3 linked regions of the Drosophila melanogaster genome follow. The protein of the gene in region 2 interacts with the protein of the main gene of each other region in a pairwise test. Each region holds a gene or a part of one and is shown on either strand. Other genes may lie near its edges.

Region 1 (7,725 bases), on a different chromosome or scaffold from region 2:
ATATTATATTAAGTAGTAAAGTTACCCACTTCGTTTATTAAAAGTGCCAGTGCTGCGGAGTTTTGGGACCTGACGACTACAAGTTGGGCGATCTGAATATCCCAAAATCCTGTTACAAGAATGGCAGTGAAAGGGATGAGGACCTGTACCGATCAGGCTGCTCCACGCGCTCCATAAAGCCCGCGTCGCCCATCATCCATGTGATCTCCTTCGTAATTCAGGTGAGTAGTGGTCGGGTGTTTCGAATTCTAACGCTAAAAACCATTTTAGTATGTTTTAGTCATATGCATTGAGGTATTCCTTATTATCCTGTTAAGGAGCAAATCCCAACCCACAAGTATGTGGTCTGAGCGGGTCACCGAAAGGTTTGGTAGTGTAAAAAAGTGACTTGCAGTTCTATTCGGATTTGGGAAGCAATCCTAAAGAACATCTCTGAACTTTAGGGCTATTTTCCAACATTGCATGGAACTTAAGCAGCAGATTTTCATGTGAATTGCAATTTTGGGTGCGGTTTTCAATTCACATTGTACCGGGCATGAGTATTGGCATTCTGGCGGGCGAGACAAATTGGATGCTGCCGGCTATCGTCATATTTCACGGACTGCAATCAATAACGATAAACACTTGAGTCGCAAATCCAATGTCCAGAATCCTGTCCAACAACGGCATGCATATGGATGAGCCAATAAAGAAATCAACAAAGCATGTCGGGCGATTGAAAAAGTATTGCAAATACCCCGGATAGCTGGGGATTCGGACACGGAATTGGACTCCAATCCGGACAATATGCAAATGCAGCTAAGCAGAAAATATTCAAGGACGATCCAGCCCCACCCCCTTCAACAAACGCTCAAGTTTATATATTCATTTTGTGTCCCTCGTCCCGCGCATAAATTTTATTGTTGTCAACATTAAATTCTAGTCGTGAAAAACAATTTTGCAGCATTTGAAAATCCATAAAATATGCATACGAAATTGTCCGCCGGAACGACCAACTTTATGGCTAAATAGTTTGCTCCGGCCCACATCGTTAATGCCTTTTTTATGCGTTGTATTTGGGTGTTGGGTAAACTTTTTAGCCGCCATAACAATAACGGCAGCAAAAGCAACCACACTTTGGTCAAGCTGCTGAAATATCCAGTGCAAAGTTCATAGATAAAGGGAAGGGATACAAAGACGAAGTCGCAGGCGAAAAGGGTCATGTGGCTCATTAAACTTTGGCCAACAATTTTTTGTTGCACCCCCCAACCGGCAAAGACAAACAGAAAGTTTTGCACTAAATATTTGCGCCCTCGCAAAAAAAAAAACTAGGAAAACAGAATGAAAAGGGTTTTTGAGGTGAGTGGCCATGGTTTCCGGGGATTTAAAATGGTTGCAACAATTCTTAGCACACATACGCCCCATTAAACGCTAGAAAAATTATATGTTAAGAGCTAAAACAAAAAGGGTGAAAGTGTTTCTTTAAATTGATGTTATTAAATCGTTTTATATGGGAAGTTCTTCAGAATATATGATCATAAAATTAGATTTATGACTGACCCCTTTTACAATGTTTAAACTTTAATTCTTTGCTTACTTGAACAACCTTTTTACCTTTGCAATTGCAGGAAATAATAATTCGTGCTTGATTCAGTTATAAACGGATTTTATTTCGTACAGACAATTCAACAAAGTGTCAACAAAGGTTGGGATGACCTGACCTAGTATCCCCAGTGGGATCCGAATCCATCGAAGCTGGCGTGGGCAACCACGGCGGCGGGCGAGTACTTCACATAGGCGGCGGGAGCAGCAGCCACCAGAGGAGCAGGAGCGTGGTAAACTGGAGCAGGAGCGGAGTACACGGTCTTGGCCACGACTGGAGCTGGAGCGGAGTAGACTGGAGCTGGGGCGGCATAGACAGCCTTGGCGACGGGAGCAGAGTACACGGTCTTGGCCACGACTGGAGCTGGAGCGGCGTAGACTGGAGCTGGAGCGGCATAGACAGCCTTGGCGACGGGAGCAGAGTACACGGTCTTAGCCACGACGGGAGCAGGAGCAGCAGCGTAGAAGGACTTGGTGATCACTGGAGCAGGTGCGGAGTACAGGGTCTTGGGAGTGTAGACATTGTTGGTGATGCGGGAGTCCACCTTGCTGACACTGGAGTACGGGGTAACCACGTTCTTGGAGTAGGTGGACACAGTGCCGCCGAAGGAGCGCACCACATTCTGCTGGGTGGTTCCCACGGCATCGTAGTGGGGCTGAGCCACCTTGGCCACCACGGGAATGGAGGCAGCGGCATAGGTGGTGGCCGGAGCCAGGAAGCCAGCACTGGCCACACCCACCAGAGCGCAGAAGGACAACAGGACGTACTTGAATGCCATGGCTAAGATTGAATTGATTGATTGACAATTTAAAATTGAAAACTTAAGCTGATGTTTGTAGTGAGCTGCTGTGGCTACTGATGCTAAACTCTTGGCAAGCGACTGTTTTTATAGCCAAAACTCGCATATGGCTTGCCAAATTTCACGGCCAACTCGCAAATTATAGTTTGTTCGTATGACAGATTGAGTTAGGCCTAAGCTCCCCACAAAAAAAAAAGAAGAAAAAAAAACTGGTTCAATGGGTCGACAAATGACTGCGCTCTTTTCTCTCCCTCTTTCCGTGCTCCGTCTCTGTCTTAATTGGAGGCCAGCTCAAGTGCCCCACACCCCAAATGCGAAATGTATCAGGAAAGTGAATTATTTTGAATACTCGTACTATCAACAGCTCATAAATTTTCCAGCAACGGAGTGGGGCAAACTTTTATTTTCCCGCTGTGTTTTTCCATTAAATTGAGTTCCACTCGAGCAGCAAATATGAGGCAACCCCTCAATAAGGGGATGTTCCTTAGCTCCTTGTTGCTGTCAACTTTATCAGCAGGGGTGTCAGTGGTTCCTTTCTTTTCGGAGTGGTGGCAGTCAGTTGTTTATGATTTTTGTTTGTTTTTATTCCAAGGGGAAGCCGAGAAGTTTTTGTGCCCTTCCAGAAGGAAGATCTGAAGTTGAAATTAATGATCAGAAGTCGAAAAGTTTTGGTGCGTCCTAAATAGCTGTTCAAGAAAGATGCCATATGCATAGCTCAGTATAAAGTTCCTATATGGATTGGCCATAAAAATAATATTATTTATAGATATATTATAATTCATTGAAACACCCATTTTATTGACACTGCGCATAGAGTACTACCACTTCGTTCTGTGTGCATTTTTCCACTCTTGATGTTTTTCTTTTGTTTCGGCCAAGTTTGGAAAATGAATTTTCCTGCTCTGCTGCTCACGGGCGCATGATGAATATTTATTGAAATTACCAAAGTTGACGCTACTCCAAATTGAATTGTGTTGCCAACTTGGGATGCTTCTTACTGCCACAAATTCTGCGCTCTTTTTCCTTCTTCTATTGGCGCGCATTTTTTTGTTTTGGTTTTTGTTTTTGGCAAATTGTTATTAATTTTACACGGGGGGCGCTGAAGCCCCACACCGAAACCTAATTACCGCGTTTAATGCATGCCTGCAAATTGGCTTTCAAGCGGTTACGCAGGTGAACTGCCATCGCATTGTGGAAATCACCAGAAAACCAACCAAAAACCGACAAAAACTGGCACGCGTCCGATGCGTATAAAAGCCGGCACATTTTGGCCAAATCAGCATCAGTCGCAGCCCAACCAGCCTGCTTTCAACTTGACTCGAGCAAACCGTCCAGTCATCACCGTACTTCAACATGGCATTCCGCTATCTCATCTCTCTGTGCGCCCTGGTGGCCTGCGCCAATGCTGGTCTCTTGGCCAGCCATGTGGCCATTGCTAATCCGTCGGTGGATGCCGTCGCCTCCACTCAGCAGAATGTGGTGAGGTCCTTTGCCGGTACTGTTTCCAGCTACTCGAAGGCGGTGGACACCCCCTACTCCAGTGTGAGGAAGAGCGACACGAGGATCCAGAACAATGTATACACTCCTGCTATTAAGACGACCACTTATGGTGCTGCTCCTCTGTACACTCAGGCTACTCCCATTGTGTCCAAGACTCTGGTCCATGCTCCAGCTCCCGTTGTTGAGAAGACTGTGTACGCTGCTGCTCCAGCTCCAGTTCTGGCCAAGACTGTTTACTCCGCTCCTGCTCCAGTTGTGGCCAAGCACGTTTATTCCGCTCCAGCTCAGGTTTATGCTCCTGCCGCCCCAGTTGTGGCCAAGACCGTGTACTCTGCTCCTGCTCCAGTTTACGCTGCTCCTGCTCCAGTTTATGCTGCACCCGCTCCAGTTGTAGCCAAGACCGTGTACTCCGCACCAGCTCCAGTTCTGGCCAAGACCGTGTACTCTGCTCCAGCTCCAGTTTATGCTGCTTCCGCACCGGCTGTGGCCAAGACTGTGTCCTATGCCGCCCCACTGGCCACCACCAATGTGAACCATGGACCAGCTGCCACCACCTACACCCACAATGCTCCAGCTCTGGGCGTCTCCAGCTATGGAAGCTCCCAGACGGTTCACTATTCCCCCGCAGAGAGTGTGTCGCACATGAGCTTCGATGGATTCGGAACCCACTGGGGTTTCTAAATAAGTCTTGGCCTTTGGGCTTAAGCAATTGTTAATGTTTGGTGGTCAATAAAGACGGAGATCGATTGTTGCAAATTAAACATGAGCCGAGTAAAGTAGACCTTCTGGGTGAACAATGGGCCAAACTGGTTTCTGCCAATTCATCGTTATGCGTTGGCCTTCTATGAGGTCTTACCTGAAGTGCTAAGGCGGTGGGCGTGGTGGTAAGCGGCTTTGTGATAAGCTGTGGGGGCGTGGCATGTCGTGTTTTATGGCTCTTTAATTGGATTTAATATTTTTCGCACACCTTTCCCCCAAAAGCAACTTGTGCACATGTTATATTTATTGTCAGTTAATTAACGGATATTTATGCTCGCATAACCGCAACTCCGCATAAATGGCTTACACGCTTGCCTCCCAAACTTAACATTGACATCTTGGCTCAGAGTGACTGTGGATAGATATGTGGTACTACATTAATGGGTACCAGTTAAATGGGTTCAATTGGAACCATTGACAGGCGGCCAAGAGGTAGAGTTTAATAGACCGAATGCGTGTTTTGACAGTGATATTTTAACGGGATTGCTTGAACAGCGATCGAGTTGCGTAATGAAAGGTAAATGATAGAGAGACTGAGGTAATAGACAAAAGACAAAAAGACAGGAAAGTTATTAAAGACATGGATCAGCTCTTAATAAGCATTAACTTATGCCTCATGAACTTTTGAACTTATTACTATTGATAATAATTTTTGTTATTCTTCCTTAAAACTCGTTTAAGATTTTCTCAAAAATAAGTCAAAAATGTTCAACTTTAGTTTGCCCTTCTAAGACATGACACTAATGCGACATGCAATCGAGCTGATTAATTCCCTCTTGGCCAATTGACAGGCCAGACAAGAACAATCAAATTAAATGAAAACGTGTCCAAAAAGAGTAGAACGAGGACCCTGTCTTGGAATTTTTGCCAGCCAAATTAGTTGCATTTGTTATTGTTCTCGGCGGGCGCTTTGATTTGTGATTTGATTGCGCATACGCCCCGTGCCACATGCCAAAATGTGCCAGATTGTTCTCGTCTGAGTTGACAATTAGTCAATAATTTATTTCAATTTCATTTCGCATGCCAAGCACACACACACAAACAAAACACCCCAAAAGGAAAGCCTAACTGCACTTTAATTACATTTACATTTTGGCTTGAGATTGTCGCTTTAGTTTTTGCCACAAAAACGAGACTGACAAGGGGGCAAATTGCTGGGACCATCCTGCAATTGTTGCAATGCAATTTAGGTAAGCGAATTTTCATGATTTAAATAACAGCATTATGTGCGGCAGATTGTGTGTGTATGTGGTTGAAAAACTGCAGACATTGTCGCTTTGCCGTTCGGTATTTTGTGTTTTGTCTGACTGGCTGGCTGTGTGTCCTGGTATAATTAAATTATGGCTGGACATAAGACGCATAATAGGTCATAAATCAAATTTACCTATCCCACGGGTCCATGCCGAGCATGACACTCCAGACGGCGTCACAGACACAGTTTCCCATAGACAACGTTGCACCGAAAAAAATTTAATATTATTTTTATAAAATATTAAACTTGCTTAAAAGCTTGATTTGGCTTAGAGACTTCTAATAAAAACTTAAATTGAGATTAGAAACATCCTGTTCAGACCTTTTTTAAACGTTACATATTATTCTGCACATAATTTTCTTCCGTGGAACAAGGACACATTGTGTACTGGTCATTTTTCCCTAATTTTGATGGACATTATGACGACTCTGTCTCGGCACACAATTAGATAATTGATGCATCTGCTATGGCTGTTGTGCCCGTCCCGCCCGTTTGAATTTACATTTGTGCCGGCATTTCAATTGCAACTTTGACTCCACCGAACCACAAAAGGGCCGTCCCATGGTCCAGATTCTGTTTTCCTAACTGCGGCTATAACTGCCATACTGTGACTGCAGTTAATGTGTCCTTCTGTCAGAACCAGCCACACTTTGAATGGATTGCATTTGAAACATTTCATAGGCACAGCAAACGAATTTGTTGCCTTATTTTCGGCCTACTATGTTCTATGCGTTTTTCTTTTTTCGTGACCATTAATGGCTTTTATATGAAATGAGTTTCTTAATCACTGATGCTGTAATACAAAATTATAATAAAGAAAACCGACGATATCTGCGATATCGCATAGAAGTAGACAAAGAGGATACCCTCCCATTTCTCTATAACATTTTTCTGCCACCCAACTGGTGGGTGTATTAAAATTTAATTTTTAGATTACAGACCGTTTGTTTTCTATTTGCTCCACGAGGCGAAACAAACAAGTGCAGCTGGGCGTGTGGGGGGAAGACAAAAGCAACTTTAAGGTCGCTTTTTTTCTGTTGATTTATCATCACTTTATGCAAATTGACCGCTTACCTTTGAGCTTTATCGCAGCACATCTGTGAAAAGCTTCGGTTGAGGGGTTCTACTCCTCCGTTTTCCTGCGATTTTCCTTGGCAGTTTTCAACCCCGCCATTGGCTGCCACGTGCAATGTCAATGCCAAGCGATTAACATTCAATTAGCTTTTGGCTCCATCAATGATTTTATCACACAGCCAGGAGGTCCTGTTGCTGCGGCTGGTTTGAGTGTAAATTGTGGCAAATTATCATTAGCCTGTTTGGGGTCCACAAACAAGAAGGAGAGGACTACAGCAAGGACATCTTCAAAAGGTTTTTATGACATCAGCAGCTGTCGTTGACAGATTATTGTGGCGATTATTTTAGCAGAGCGGTAGGACACACAGGACAGATACCAGATACCAGATACAAGATACAAGACGGCAAACAACAAACGGGTTCCAAATGGAATGGGGGCTATTGTGCGTTCAACTGGAAAATGTCAACAGTGTTGTTGGCATTGCTGTTGGCCGCTTTGTCGTCCCTGTTACTCAGCCACATGTGGCAGGACTTGAAGAACATCGAGGACCTCGTCCTCTTCCCGCCACTTGAATAGCTTGCGGCTTAGCACTTGTGAATAACTAGCTAAAGTTGAAGAAGTTGTCACATTTTTATCAACACCACTGGCCGTGTAATAAATTCTTATCCGCACTTGGCTAAGTAACAGGTATCTTATAGTCGAGATACATACGAAATAGTTCTCTCTTGCTATATTTACAGACATGAAAAACTTGTCAT
Region 2 (7,232 bases):
TTTTCTGTTTATTGACAATATATAAACAAGATAAATGAAAACTTAGTGTTTTGGCCACAAAATCCAATAGCCATTTCCCAATATCAGCAGATTCTTCAAAGTTAAAATTTTAGAGATAATACAAACAAACTTAAGTTTGATCAAAAAATCATTCAGTAAATCCACAGCTTAAAGAATGTTATAATACTATTTTTCAAATGTAAAACAAAGGAAAATACTGTTTCGATTTCTCAAAAGTTTTATTATATTTTGAAGAGCATATTTTTCCATTTATTGGGTGGACACAGCAGCGACTGGTACAAATGTAGTAGTGGTGGTGATGTTGTTGTTGGTAGCAACTGGAACTGCAACCTGAGTGGGAACAACCACAACATTTCGGGACATCATCCTGCGGCACTGGCGACAAGGACGGCCCCAAGCCAGGGGATTTGCATAGTACAGGACTCCTCGAGGATGGTTGCACTCGGCGCACTTGAGGTTGATATTGATGTCGGACATGGCTCTGTCTTGTCTTGGCTCTAAGTTGTCTCTGCTCGACTGCACTTCAATTTGGCTTTTAACTTTAACTTATAACCTTTTTATACAGCCAGTTTGAATGCGATAAGAAAAATTGAGGACTCGCTTATCACAACAGTGATGGATCAAACTCGTAATTCTGCTGCAGCAGTTGTGATTCAATCTCTCAATCCCTCGATTTTCTGTGACTCATATGTTCTAGGGATGTTGAACTTTTCATTCTAGAGTGACTCATCATAGACCTCTTCTTAAGTGGTTTTTTAGGATACATTTTTACTTGCTATTCTCGATAGTTTAAGAATCCAAAAATAATTATCTTGACTCTTCTCTTCATGAGTAATTAATTCTTTTTTAGATATCAATTCCCGAACTCTTATCATGAAAAATATTTTTCATTTGTATACATATACATTTTAAGCCATAGTTGGATATGCAATTCTTATTTAAATACGGCAAGAATGGTATAACTTTTCATATAAAATCATAATTCAAATTTTACTTTGAGTCCAGCAAGATCTTTTATATTTATTACGCCATTTAAATTGAGAAAACTATTGCCCAGTTTTCGTTATAATAAAGCTTAAAATATGTTTATGTACTGACAGCACTAGTTGTACAATAATTGATAAGCTGGCTACGACCAGAGGACATCAATCATTTCCCACCAGTCAGATAGCAAAACCGAAGCCAAATAATATATACAAAAACCACAAAAAATCCACGAAAGCAATTACCCGTACGGAAAATAGAGAGTGGAAAAGGAATCATGACCATGACCATTGTTTATGTCGTTCGCCTGCAGTTCAATTTTCATATTTGTACCATTAACATTGCAAATAAATGCAGGCATATATATTCGCAATATGAAAATGTGTCACAGCAAGAACCGACATTGAAAACCAATCAAGTATATTTCAATTAAGGTAAAGTGCATTTAAGTTATTTAAGCAAATATTTCGAGCGGATTTACAATTGCATTGGCAATAAGATTGAGGCAAATTAAAATGTCAGCTTACATGAAGAAATATGTGCGTAATATATAGTATACTATAGTATATAGTAGTATAAACACGAAATTCAAACATGAAGGAGTGAACTGTTTATTTATTTTTTATTTTTATTATACAAGAGCTTAGGTTTTGTAAAAAGTTAGTTTATAGTTTCTATTTGCAGAAATACATGAAGTTTAATAAATATTTTTAAAGTTTTTTACTTCGTTGTTGAACGACGGTCATATGGAGACCACGCCTACCACCTGGGCGGTGGGGGCTGCTGAACGATGATGACCTCTTCCCTGGGAGGTGGACGCCGACCGCCGATGTTGAACTCGATGAAGGGAGCTCTTGGTGGCACCACATCCACCTCGATAATGGGTCGTGGTGGTGGCGGCTGGTAGACGGCAGCTGGTGTGATGACCTCCACCCTGGGCGGTGGTGGTGGATACCGGCCGCCCACTCCGATCTCAATCACTGGTCGAGGAATCCTTGGCGGCACAATGTCCACCTCTACAATTGGCCTTCCACCGTGATGGTGATGATGGTGATGACGACGTTCCTCCTCGTAGTACGGCATTTTCTTCAGAAACTATCCAAGTATTGTATCCTTAGTGGGTGAAGTGAATGCCTTTGACTGCTTTCTCGAACTGAACTTGCTTCTTCGCCTGCTTAACTATTTAAGTCAATTTTTATCGCTAATGAGGGGGAATTTTTTTTCCTAATTTTGTTATGTGCGTTTTGCACAGTAGCTTAGTTGGTTATCTTGTCAGGTGGAATAAATGTGTTTTTTTCGATAAAAAAAAAATAAAATTGATAAGTGCCATTTGATAAATACGAAATTCCGAATTGAATTTCATGAGGAGAGTTCAAGGTTTCCATGAATCACAATTTTATATTTAAGAGGAAGGACTTAATTCCATGCTTCTGATTGATGACTCACACTAAATTACATAAACATAAATAAAATCGATAATGCAGTATTTAGAATATTTTTAGAATTAAAGACGGGTAGGTTTTTTGAAGAGCAAGATATTTTATTTATTTCGTTTTAAGGTTATATAGCACAATTATATTTTCTTTGAAACGGTTAAAGTTAAATTCCAGTTTTGTTTTTTTGTACCTTCCTCTGGTTATTAACTTGTTAACTTTGTGGTGCGTAATGTCAAGACCATTGCACCATTTGCGTTGTCATTTCAACTTAAGATTAGGACAAAGTGATATTTGTTTTGATTTCTTGTTATCTATCCCTTCCTTCACTCCATCGATAGTATATTTTTTTTTTGTTAGTGGTGATGGCTTCGTTTCCATTCCGACCTCGTTCACCACTGCGGATACGGTGGATTGTTGTAGGGCTGCTGATACTGGTACTGATACTCGTACGCCTGCTGCTGCTGCTGCGGATAGTATCCATTGGTGGTGGCCACCGTGACGCCGCCGTAGGGTTGCGGCATTATCACCTGTGTGCCGGGCACATAGGTAGCCGCCGGGGTCATGTAGACTACCTCGGCGGGCCGAGGCGGAGGCGGCGGCGGATAGTAGCCGCCACCCCAACCGGGAACCACATCAATTTCGATATTTGGACGACCATGGTGATGGCGAGGAGGATAGCCACATGGATCTTCATAGTACCGCATAGTTGATTAACTAGCCAAATAATCAACCAGCCAACCGAACCAACTTCACCACCCAGCAACGCGTTGAATACTGGAAAGTCCGTGGCACAACACGTCTAGCTCGAAACAAACTGGAACTGCGAAGCTCCATCAATCAGGGTTTGTGGGAATTATTCCAGTGGTTAGAGGCAAAGATAAGATGGCTTAGTCATTCGACAAGGTCTGATAACAGCGACCGGACAGTTGTGCATTTACAGGTGATCGGGTTTCGCTATTTTACTCGCATTTTGTTTACTATATTAACTGATTCCGGCTTATCTATGGGTAACGCGTTATTATTTCTGATATAGGAGCATAGAAGCATTGACAGAGCATTGGTGAAAATGAATTAAAGTTTTGCTAGACATTAACAAAACAACAAGTGATTGCCGTCTAAATTAACCAGGTGTTCCGATAAAGACTTAAAAAAAAAAAACACGGATTAGAGATTTTGATAATAAAAAGAGGGAGTGTGTGTGATGGAATCAACTCGATTGAAACTCAACCATTACTCATGACAAATATGCAAAAAAACTAAAAACTATAAACTAAAACTTAGTTTATAAGGTTATACTTTATTGAGGACATATAGTTGTTAAGTAAGGCTACGTGGTATAAATTCATTGTGAAGGATTTTACAGATCAAAGTTCCTTCTCAATACTGTGGATTGTGGTAGTGGCTGCTGCCGGGCGGTGGTGGTGGTGGTGGATTTTGGTAGTACGGTGGCGGAGGCGCCTGTTGCACCACCATGACTGGTGGCGGTGGCGGAGCCTGCTGCTGCACCACCACAACTTGGGGTGGTGGGCGGTGATGGCGGCGTGGCCATGGTGGTGCAATCTGTACCTTAATCACGGGTCCACGACGATGAGGCGGTCCGCCGCAATGATCGTGGGGTGGTGGTGGCATAGTGGTGCACTAATCTTCTGTAGAAAGTCCGTCCAAATGTGTCGACTTATCGCTGGTAACTGAATTAAGCGAATGCCCAACTCATGGGACTGACTAACCAAACAAACGCCAAAATATTTGCCGTCATAAAAAAGCTCAATATCAGCATTTGCTGATAGCGAATAGGTAGGTAGGTACTCTTAATTATTTCTATTGACGAAAGTATTGCTTCTAGAGCAAAGTTATCGATAAATAAACTGAAAATTGGCAAATGGTAAAGCTTTTTTCGAATAAGCTTTTCAATTCAAATTTGAGCCTGCATATCAATAGATTTTCCTCGTTTCTTTAATGAGTCATGTTTGGTTTTTTCCGGGGATTTCTCCTTAACTTACATATAGTCATGTAAATACTTGTTTAAAGTTTTAAAAAGAAATAAAGTATTTCGTTGTCACGAAGAAAGGAAATGAACCAACGTGCAAATATTTGTATTTGGTTAAATGCGATTAAATTCCTTAACTCTAGTGAAAACAAACTTTAGCTTGAGAAAATGTTGTCAAGCCACAAATATTTATCCAATTTTCAGCCCCGAAAAATTCCCAATAATTCTTTACACATTTTCCTTAGCCGGCAAATATTTGGCAAACATTTGCACGTCTATTATGCAAAGTTTGCAGACACGATTTTGCCTCGAGGGGCGACGTGGGTAAATATTAAATGTATGGATAGAAAAACATGGTAATTTCTGACGGTCAATCAAGAAAAGTCTCTCGGGACTCTCTGAATCTCAATCACTTGATCAAATAAAATTCGGAATATTCGATTTGACAACCAGGAGAGCGGCAGCCTTTTTGGCTGTACTTAATTGAGTGGTTCGTGCTGCATTTCGCATTTCATTCGCTCTTTGAATTGTCACTTCGATCAAGGAACTGGGGTTAAGGGTTACGGCTTAAGGGTTAAGGGTGCTTGCCCTAAAAAGTTAAACATGCACAAAGTGGCAAACGAGTTTCGGGCAAAGTTTTCAACTGACGCAAAAGAAGGAAGGAAATGAGTGCCGCATAACGCGCAACATATCGACTGAGCTTTTGTGGGCGCGCTGCGTTGGTGGGGCGTGGCAGGCCGCATGACAGTCACTCACTTTAGTTATTATAGCCATTAAAAGGAAATCCCAACTGGCTGTAATGAAATCACTGTCCATAGCAAAAACGATAGTTTAAACGTAGCCAATTCACTTTGGGGATAAAAAATAATGTAAATTTTCAAGACCTCTGAAGAAAAAGAAAATTTCTCAAGCGAATTTACTCGAAAAAGTGTATTAAGTGCGTCATCTTTGAAGCCTCCGCTTTTTCCACATGTATTTTTTAACTCCTTGTGCATATTTTAGGAAATGAATTGAGTCCTGGCAAGATAAAATGTCTCTGTCCCCGAGTGAAGAATCAAAATCAGAAAATTGGGGCTTGGAATCGGGAGTTGAATCTGGATCTGAATCTGCAGCTGAAACTGAGGCAGCGCCCTCGAATCGATAACTGTCAAAAAATAAGCCGGCAAGCAACATGCAAGACAGGCGCATAAGGGGGCGTGGCAAAAGGGGTGTTGCAAATGGATGGGGATGTGGTTGGGGGGATGGTGGTTCTGGTGGTTTTAAGCGGTGGCGGCGGCGTCGCACAATTTAAATATTTATGGCGCTCCGCTTGGTGCACAAGAAACGGAACCAGGCACACGGCATAGCCAAAAAACCGTAACCGTAAGCCTAACCAAGAAACCAGGAAAAGCAGCTATCCGAAATTTCGCAACCCGTTTACTGAGAGAAATCAAATGAAAGTATTTGCAAAATTCAGCTTCGCACAAAAGTCCAAATTATTGTAATTATTATTTTTAAAGGGATTTAAAATTTTGAAAAAAAAAATATCGGTTTTATACAGAATAACAACATGTACGTTGAAATGTGTATAAAGGATTTATGAAAAAATTGATTGTATGCATTTTTCTTCAGTGCATACCACCTTTACGAGGCTTCTTTAGCAGCGGCGTCAGAAAACGCATTTCCTGCTCATGTCATGACATGCAAGTGTGGCTGGGAAATCGCGTAACGCAGCAAGAGTTGGCAAGAAAATCGGGAAAGTTGGAAAATCGGTTGGTGCAGAAATGGGTTACCCAAAAGGAATCATTGCTTTTGTCGACATGTCATGGCAATACTCGTATCTGAAAAGTGTTTTCGGGGTTGGGCTGAGATGTTTTTCGAACATTTTCAAGAACATTTTATTGAGCTACCGTTTTCAGGCACTCGCTGCAAGTTGATGATTGATAGAGTTGTAAAACTGAAGACGGAAAGGCAAAATGCTGCCAGAGGTGAGGGATGACTTGACAGTTTTGCTAAACTCTTGAAATCTTGCAGCGTAACTACGAAAATGTTGTCGAATATTTTTACAATTAGGCAATGTGCTTAGCATATTCAATAATTTAAATATTTTTAAAAATATTATTAAAAAAAGAATTTACATATTTTTACATTTTTGAACTCTATATTGTAAATTAAAACGGTTTCTTATGCACAATAGTTTTAGAAGCACTGACGCTTGCGTTCCTCTCAACTTTTAATTGAAATCAGCTCACAGTTTTACAGCCATAGGTGTACACCAGCAACCGCCACTCCCCCTTACGCCCACAAGGCCATTAAGGAACTTGTTAATTTGCATTTTCCATTTCCATTTGCATGAAAATTTGTTTCTTTTCGCGAGGCGCAAAAATTAACCAGCGAAAGAAACAAAAATGAGGCAAAAGTTGAAGGGAGCACAAAGTTGTCCCTTTAATGCCTGCGGTTTGCACGCCCAGAACTCCAGGAAAACCAAGGTCTTCTTATGCGTATACATGTACATAAACTCAAGCCAATTTCCGGATCTCACTTTCATGTGCCGCCGTATAATTGCTTCTCACGTATTGTCGCAATCAAAACAAAAGCCCACGAAATTCATAAACGATTTTTCACTTTTCCATTTACTGGCACATCCAAAAATTGGGTAAACATTTCCGAGGGAAAGGGCCATCCAAAAAATCGGACGGATAAAATGTTGGACGTAAAATGCTTGGCAAATATTTTTGTGACTTTGTTGCGTAACAGTAAGTGACCACGCCCCCACTTGTGGAACTTCCCAGCCCCGCATTTTTGGCCAGTCAACCAAGTGGAAA
Region 3 (7,102 bases), on a different chromosome or scaffold from region 2:
GCAGCAGCCAGGTGGATGTCCGCAACAACTACGACGGCACCCTGTCCTCCTACACCACCGCTCCGTTCGAGTTCGCCGGCCCCTACTCCAGCCGCTATGTGTCCGGAATCCCAGCTGCCCCCGCCGTGGTGGCCAAGTACGCTGCTGCTCCTCTGGCCGCCGCCTACTCTGCTCCTCTGGCTGCTCCCGTCGCTGCTCCTCTGGCCGCTGCTCCCGTTGCTGCTCCTCTGGCCGCTGCTCCCTATGCCGCCGCTGCCTACTCCGCCTATCCCTATGCCTCGCCCTACGCTGCACCCTACCTGGCATCTCCCTACGCCGCTCCCTACGCTGCATCCTATGCTGCTCCCATCGCCGCTGCTGCTCCAGCTCCAGTGGTGGTCTAAGGACACACCTGTGAAGCAGGCCAAACTATAGGAAATTTTTGATAAACAAAAAAAAAAACTGATAATAAATTACGAACCAACAATTAGAGCGCACCATCTTATTATTTGCAGAAATGCCTTGAATAATTAACGAAAAACGAAAGTACTATTATTTATCGGATATTTTTGGTTCATGAAAATTCAATTGGACGCTCATTTCGATTGGGTCAATATATATATATTTCTTAAGAAAATATAAAATAACTTCTTTACTTAACTATGATCAATTTTTGATTAGATGATTCCTTTTGTGCAAGTGGTTTTATTAAGCATCCATATATTTCCAGATTTCAGATAGAGGAAGTTATTTAATTTTTTTTTAGAAACTTTAGAACTTTCCATTTAATGCTCTGAATTTCTCGTTTCTCACTCATTTCTTTGATATGCAAAATAAGCTTGTTTATTGGTGGATATCATTTAATACAAATTATGCATAAATTATAGGTCTGCATTTAATTTTTAATGGAATTTTTTCTAACAGCTGCATTGAATTTTAAAGATAATATTGACAAAGTAGCAACATACATAAGTTAGGGACTTAGGGAAGTTAAAGTCAGACAACTTGGTCACCATGTAAACAATATTTGTTGTGATTGCGTTGTCACCTAAGGCGCAATATCGATTGTTATTTATGGTCAAAGCAATATTTATGGATTATCATAATCATATTCCACTCATGGGCAACTGTCAATGCCTGGGCTTGGTTGGCCCCATGTTATATAATCATGGGCCGTGCTTTCGAATCGCCCAAGAAGTTATTGGCCCCTCGATCGAAGGCAGTGCCATTCGCAGTCGCCGTCTCAGTCACGACTTGCTGACCAACTAAATGGGATTGGGTTGCCTCCCTCCAAATGATGCAACCCATTAAGTTAGGTGAGTGGGCCAAGTCGTCGTCGAAAGTGAAGAAATGCAAGTGCAAGTCTTTTGATTGCGTACCGCCTTCAATTCGCTATAAATATTAATTTAATTTGACAATGCAAAGACATTAGCAGCCGAACCAACAGGTCGAGCACATCGATCGAGAAGCTACTGCCCCAAAGAAACCGAACTTCAAATCCCCCAAGCAAGATGTGGCAACTGACATGGGTAAGGACTGCAAAGTTCTTTTGACCAAAGATATTAATAGGTAACCTAAATATTTTTAGGCCTTTGCATTGGCTTTCCTGCTGGTGGGTGGTGAGGCAAAGCCCTCTCATCTTCACTACAATCACTTCGATCCCCACCATGTCAACCACTTTGACGGACATCATCTGAGCCACTTGGATTCTCTGCATGCTCTGCCGCACCACTTGGATTACGCGGTGCAGGAATCGGTCCTTCCTCCGCCAGCTCCTTTGCTTCCTGCGGTGGCTCCACCACCAGCATTTGCTCCACCACAACCTGTATTTGCTCCAGCGCCTCTCTTACCTGCTCTTGCACCATTTTTACCGGCTCCTGCTCCTCTTCTGCCCGCTCCTGCACCACTTCTACCAGCACCTGCACCACTTCTACCAGCTCCAGCTTTTCTGCCAGCTCCTACTCCTCTTTTGCCCGAGTTCCATGTGCCCAGTGTCACCCATCAAGTGCTGCCGCCCGTCCTGGAGGCGGTGCCCTTTGCACCCACCTACCGTGCCATTCCCGGACCGAAGACCACCACCCACCGCGTGTCCATTGGCTACGCCTTTCCCAAGCTGCTGGCCACGCCCCACGCCCATCTGAAAGCCCTGCCCCTGAAGTTCGCTCATCACCATCACCACTCGCTGTGGTGATCATCCCGACCTTACGGATGATGAAAACCTCACCAAAGAGTAATTAGTGTCAGATAGGATATGTAAAGCTTAAATCTACAAGTCTACCTGCATTATACAATAATTTATCGAATAAATATAGTGAAATAAAAAACGAAACAAATAAAATTCATGCATTATACAATAATATATCGAATAAATATAGTCAAATAAAATGAATTATAAATCAAATTACATTTATACTCAATTTAAGGCTCTGTTAACCTTAGAATTCAATCATTGCGTTCTTAAGCAAAATATATGAAAATATATTCAGTATTCCCGCACATTCTTACCAATTATTTCCAAAAATAGAAATCCCAGAGAATGTAACTGCGGTTGATAAAATCATAGGCACACCAAAAAATTAGCAAAAGGAAACATATTCGCTATCTGATTCAGACTCTCATTACGAACCAGACGCCTCGTAATGTCGCCAAATGGGGTTTCATTTATTCGGCCAACACACACACACACAAACTATTGGCAACACACACACACACACACTCACAAGTGGGGCACAGAAATGTTGTTAGTGGATTTCGAACTGCACGCAACATGAAATCAAATCAGAAATTCCAGACACAAACCCGGCCCAAACACGCGACAATTGTTGCAACAATAAACAAAAAGCGGGTGGACGAAAAAAAGTGGTAATTCAATTAAATGATTGAGCCAAGTAACACGTACTCTGGGTAAATAATTGCAGCTCATTACAAAAGCACCACCCACCGAAAATATTCGAAAAGCCCCAACTGTCATAAACCCGACCGAAACCCAAACGAAATCTTGCCCAATATTAACCTAGGTTATGGTCGGGAATTGCGTGCAATTATGAAAGTTTTCGGGGGCGATCGACGTAAGAGGCTACCGATTGATTATTAAGTACATATGTACATATATCGCACCGATCCAGCAACGCCCTTCATCAGCTCCCAATATAGAAAGTCTTCCAAGGTGTTTTCGTATGCGCGTCCATGGATATTCCGTGGGCTACAGAATTATAAAAGCGTTACCCAGTGGACAATTGGATATCACAGTTCAGTCTGCCTTCAAGCTAATCACACCTAGCAAATCATACCCAATCCCCAAAATGTTCGCCAAGATTGTGGTGAGTTGCAAAGGATGTCCGGATCTATCGAAGTGGATTATAGATATATACCTTCATTTACAGCTCGTTGCCCTCTGCGTGGCCTCTGCTCAGGCTGGTCTCCTTCCTTTCCATGCTCCGGCTCCACTGGCTGCTCCACTTGCTCCTGCCTTCGCAGCTCCCCTGGCTGCTCCTGTGGCTACCGCCGGAGTGGTGGCTCCATATGCCTCCAGCTTCAATGCCCACCGCATCAACCACGCCGTGGCATACCCAGTGGCTCCTGCTCCAGCTCCAGTGGCCTTCGCTGCTCCCCTTCCCGCTCCCCTGCCCGTTCCAGTTGCTGCTCCCGCTCCAGTGGCCTTTGCCGCTCCTGCTCCTCTGCCAGTGGCTGCTGCTCCTGCTCCGGTGGCCTTTGCTGCTCCCGCCAAGGTTGCCTTCGCCGCTCCCGCTCCGGTGGCTGCTCCTCTGGGCTTCGCCCCTGCTCCGGCGCCTGTTGCCTTCGCCGCACCAGCCAAGTTCGGATTCGGACCCTTCGCCGCTCCCCTGGCTGCTCCAGTCCCAGCGCCTCTGGCTGTGGCCCCCAAGTTCGCTCCCGCCCCATACTTCTTCTAAGGACTTAGCTGTAGGATCACCCAGCTCATACACTCCCATCCGTCCTATTAGATTGTAGAAACTAGCCCAAATCTTCATCTCCTAGAGAGCAGCAATGCTTGGCGAATAAACAATTATCCATTAATCAAATTTACAAACGTGTTTCTTTGAGGAAGTTTACTTGGTAGCCTCTCAGTAGTATTTCCTATTATAGCTGCCTTGGATTATACCATCCAAAATCATATTTCAAATTAATACTGCTCTTAAAAGTCGAACATCATTAGCGGATAATATATAATACCTTCTAAAACCATATAAACGGTTTCTATATTTTTTACGGATTTTTAGGTAAGTTTTATAGAATCATTCATCAGTGATAGCAGCAATGTTAAACGTAATGATTAAAAGAATGATTATTATTATTATTTGTTTTTATTTATAAGTTAAACTATGTTTTTCTAGGGTATACATCGCTAGAACCTAATGTTTTTGACATGACCAATCCTCTGGAAGAGAGGAACATGTTCGTAGGGCGTGTGCGAAATGGGCACCGAATCGTAGGTGACGTGGGCAATCTTCGTGAGAGGTGCCACAATGGTGTAGCCAGGATGCTGAGCCAACTCCTGGGGCGTTGATGCAACCGGCAGAGGATGATGATAGATCACCGGGTGATGGTAGATAACCGTGGCGGCAAAGGCACCACTCAAAAGGCCGAATAGCACGACGAGCTAAAATAAGATCTATCAGATACAGATACTAATAAAGGAGTACTGAGTATCTATCCTGTTTACCTTGAACATTCTCTGGTGATATTGTGGTCAGAACTGCACTTGGACTAAGCTGAATGCAGCCGAAGGCCAATCAATTTATAGGCTCGTCTTCATCGCTGGATTTTCATAGCGCTTTTAAACAGTTAGGAGGGGTAAACCGGTTGACAATCCCCTGAGATCAGCAACTGCATTTCCCTTGCTACCAGGAACCTGTTGCAACATCCATGTAGTGGGAGCACTACTCCACTTGGCCTCTGGTCCCCTTCTCTTCGAAAAGAAACCCGTTTTCAAGTTCAAGTTTAAAGCGTCAACGCCGAAGATTATCAAAGAGTCAGTGACTCTTTTGTGCACTTAATTATGGCACATTGGGTTGGTTGGTTGCTTTTGTTGTCTTACATTTCTCGGCTTTTTGTTTGTTTGTTTTTTTTTTCTTGGGAAGTATGAGTTAGTTGGTCACACGTCTGCGGATTTGCCTTTGTTTACCCATTTGATGTCTCTTTTCAATTTTAATCATTGCCCAATCTTGTGTTTTTCGAGCTATTTTATGTGGCTTTGGAGGTGTTAAGAATTGATTAGTTTGACTTTATTCAGCGGCTGTTCGAGCTCTTTATGCTAAAGCGGTTATAAACGTTGTTTTAGTTTTAATACTAGCACACTCCCTACAACGAAGTTGCTTTTGTGGCCAGTCTGACACATACAAATTTTGCTTAATATATACTTGTGTTATAGATTCGTGAAAAATAGATTTTGAAATATATTTAAATTAAACCTACGAATATATAGCGTTTTTTTGGAGGAGTCTATACTTTTACTTATATAGTTCTCTTCTTTTCTATACTGAATAAAAATAAACAGACCATTGACCCGAAGTTCAGATCTTAGTTCTTGATCAGATCCAACCGGAATCACATGAAGGAAACGAAGGAAAAGGCCACCCACCAGATTTAAAATGCCCACAGGCCAAATTAAAAACTGGAACTGGAACCATTGTGGACTGGTAAATGCCAAACTCGATTGCAGATTATACAATGCTGGCCCAAAAGGCAAAAAAAAACAGGTGTTGGATTTTCTTTTTATTTACAGCAGCTACGGATGGTTTTGTGGCATGCCGCTAACTTGGGCAACTTGTCAGGCGAATTAGATTTACTTTGTGGCACTGCTCATTAGATCACCGATGTCCATGTGGGGATGCAATCCACTGAACTGGGGTTTGGTATAAAAGAGGCCTGCTGGGATCAACTGCAGCAACACAATTGGTTAAGCCGCCACAGAAGCAGCCGGAAAATTACCTACAGCAAGATGAAAGGAGTAAGTGGTACCAGGATATAAAAGGATAATACAATTATTAATAAAAAATACTTTAGAAAATATAAGCAATTTTTTTTACTTAAATCATATAAATAACATTTGTCTTTTCTTCATTGAAAGCTGCTACTCATTACAATCGCCTGCTTGACGACCTCCATCCTGGCAGCTCCTGCTCCTGAACCCGCTCCAGAACCATCTCCGTCTCCAGCTCCTGCTCCATCTCCATCACCCAGCATTGGAATCGGAATTGGTCATGGCTACGGTGGATATGGCCTGGGATTGGGTCTAGGAATCGGGCACTACGGAGGACTCTACGGGCACGGCTATGGCGGGCACTATGGAGGTCTTGGTCTGGGATTGGGCTACCATGCACCCATCATCTCCAAGACGATCATCGGCAAAAGCTACTTGGGCGGCTATGGCTATGGCCTCGGTCACGGATATCTCGGAGGCTACGGCCATGGACTGTACGGAGGACACGGTCTGGGTCTGGGTCTGGGTCTGGGATACGGACTGGGATATGGCTATGGCCACGGTTGGTAGAGGTACTCCCAAGTCAAGTAAAGTTAAGCCAAATGGAGCCGGGACGAGCGTGTGAGAGTTTTCAATCAAGTCATATACTTCGCAGTACCCAAATCTTATTCAGTCAGTCACTCAGCAAGTCAATAAATCAATAAAGACAAAGCAAAAAATGTACAAAAAACTAGAATCATGGTCAACCGTTTATTAAAACTGGATCTTTTTTTCTCACGGTTCTTTGAGACATATTTATAATTGTCTTAATTGCCTATACTAAACATATATTTTGATACTTAATGTAAGTAAAGCACACTTTTGATGTTCTGAACAAAATATATAACATTCGTTTACGATTTCAAAACTTTGGCTATAAGGAACATCCAAATACTGAAATCTGAAAATAAATATCTGAAAAACAAAATGAAACTGAATATTTGAAAATTGTCAGCACGTTTTTCATATTGCCTCAAACGCTTGATCAAATAAAACAGTTTTAAGTTTAGTTTTTAAATTCAATCGAAATATATTTCAACATCAAACCCACTCTTCACAATCTGTTTTTTAACAATTTGATTTCACTTTACAAAACCTTCACTGATTTCTCTCTCTCTCTTTTTTCTCTGTGTATTTACATCT

What was found. The genes of interacting proteins can lie anywhere in the genome.
Region 1: the proteins of CG15422 (region 2) and CG8541 interact in a two-hybrid assay, tested with the Drosophila melanogaster proteins (one large-scale study listed by BioGRID).
Region 3: the proteins of CG15422 (region 2) and CG13049 interact in a two-hybrid assay, tested with the Drosophila melanogaster proteins (one large-scale study listed by BioGRID).

What each region holds. Positions count from the first base shown.
Region 1 is NT_037436.4:7,467,876-7,475,600, forward strand, and holds CG8541 (uncharacterized protein), read left to right. Parts: upstream 1-3,683; 5' UTR 3,684-3,734; coding exon 3,735-4,562; 3' UTR 4,563-4,639; downstream 4,640-7,725. Other genes in the region: Tsp66A (tetraspanin 66A), read left to right, coding at 45-221, 271-387; CG8543 (uncharacterized protein), read right to left, coding at 1,701-2,360.
Region 2 is NT_033779.5:4,000,969-4,008,200, reverse strand, and holds CG15422 (uncharacterized protein), read right to left. Parts: upstream 3,218-7,232; 5' UTR 3,146-3,217; coding exon 2,831-3,145; 3' UTR 2,531-2,830; downstream 1-2,530. Other genes in the region: CG43773 (uncharacterized protein), read right to left, coding at 271-498; CG15423 (uncharacterized protein), read right to left, coding at 1,765-2,088; CG34176 (uncharacterized protein), read right to left, coding at 3,819-4,070.
Region 3 is NT_037436.4:16,278,046-16,285,147, reverse strand, and holds CG13049 (uncharacterized protein), read left to right. Parts: upstream 1-3,217; 5' UTR 3,218-3,281; coding exon 3,282-3,299; intron 3,300-3,362; coding exon 3,363-3,890; 3' UTR 3,891-4,016; downstream 4,017-7,102. Other genes in the region: CG13047 (uncharacterized protein), read left to right, coding at 1-383; CG13048 (uncharacterized protein), read left to right, coding at 1,491-1,508, 1,568-2,170; CG13064 (uncharacterized protein), read right to left, coding at 4,343-4,597, 4,661-4,669; CG13050 (uncharacterized protein), read left to right, coding at 5,939-5,947, 6,068-6,490.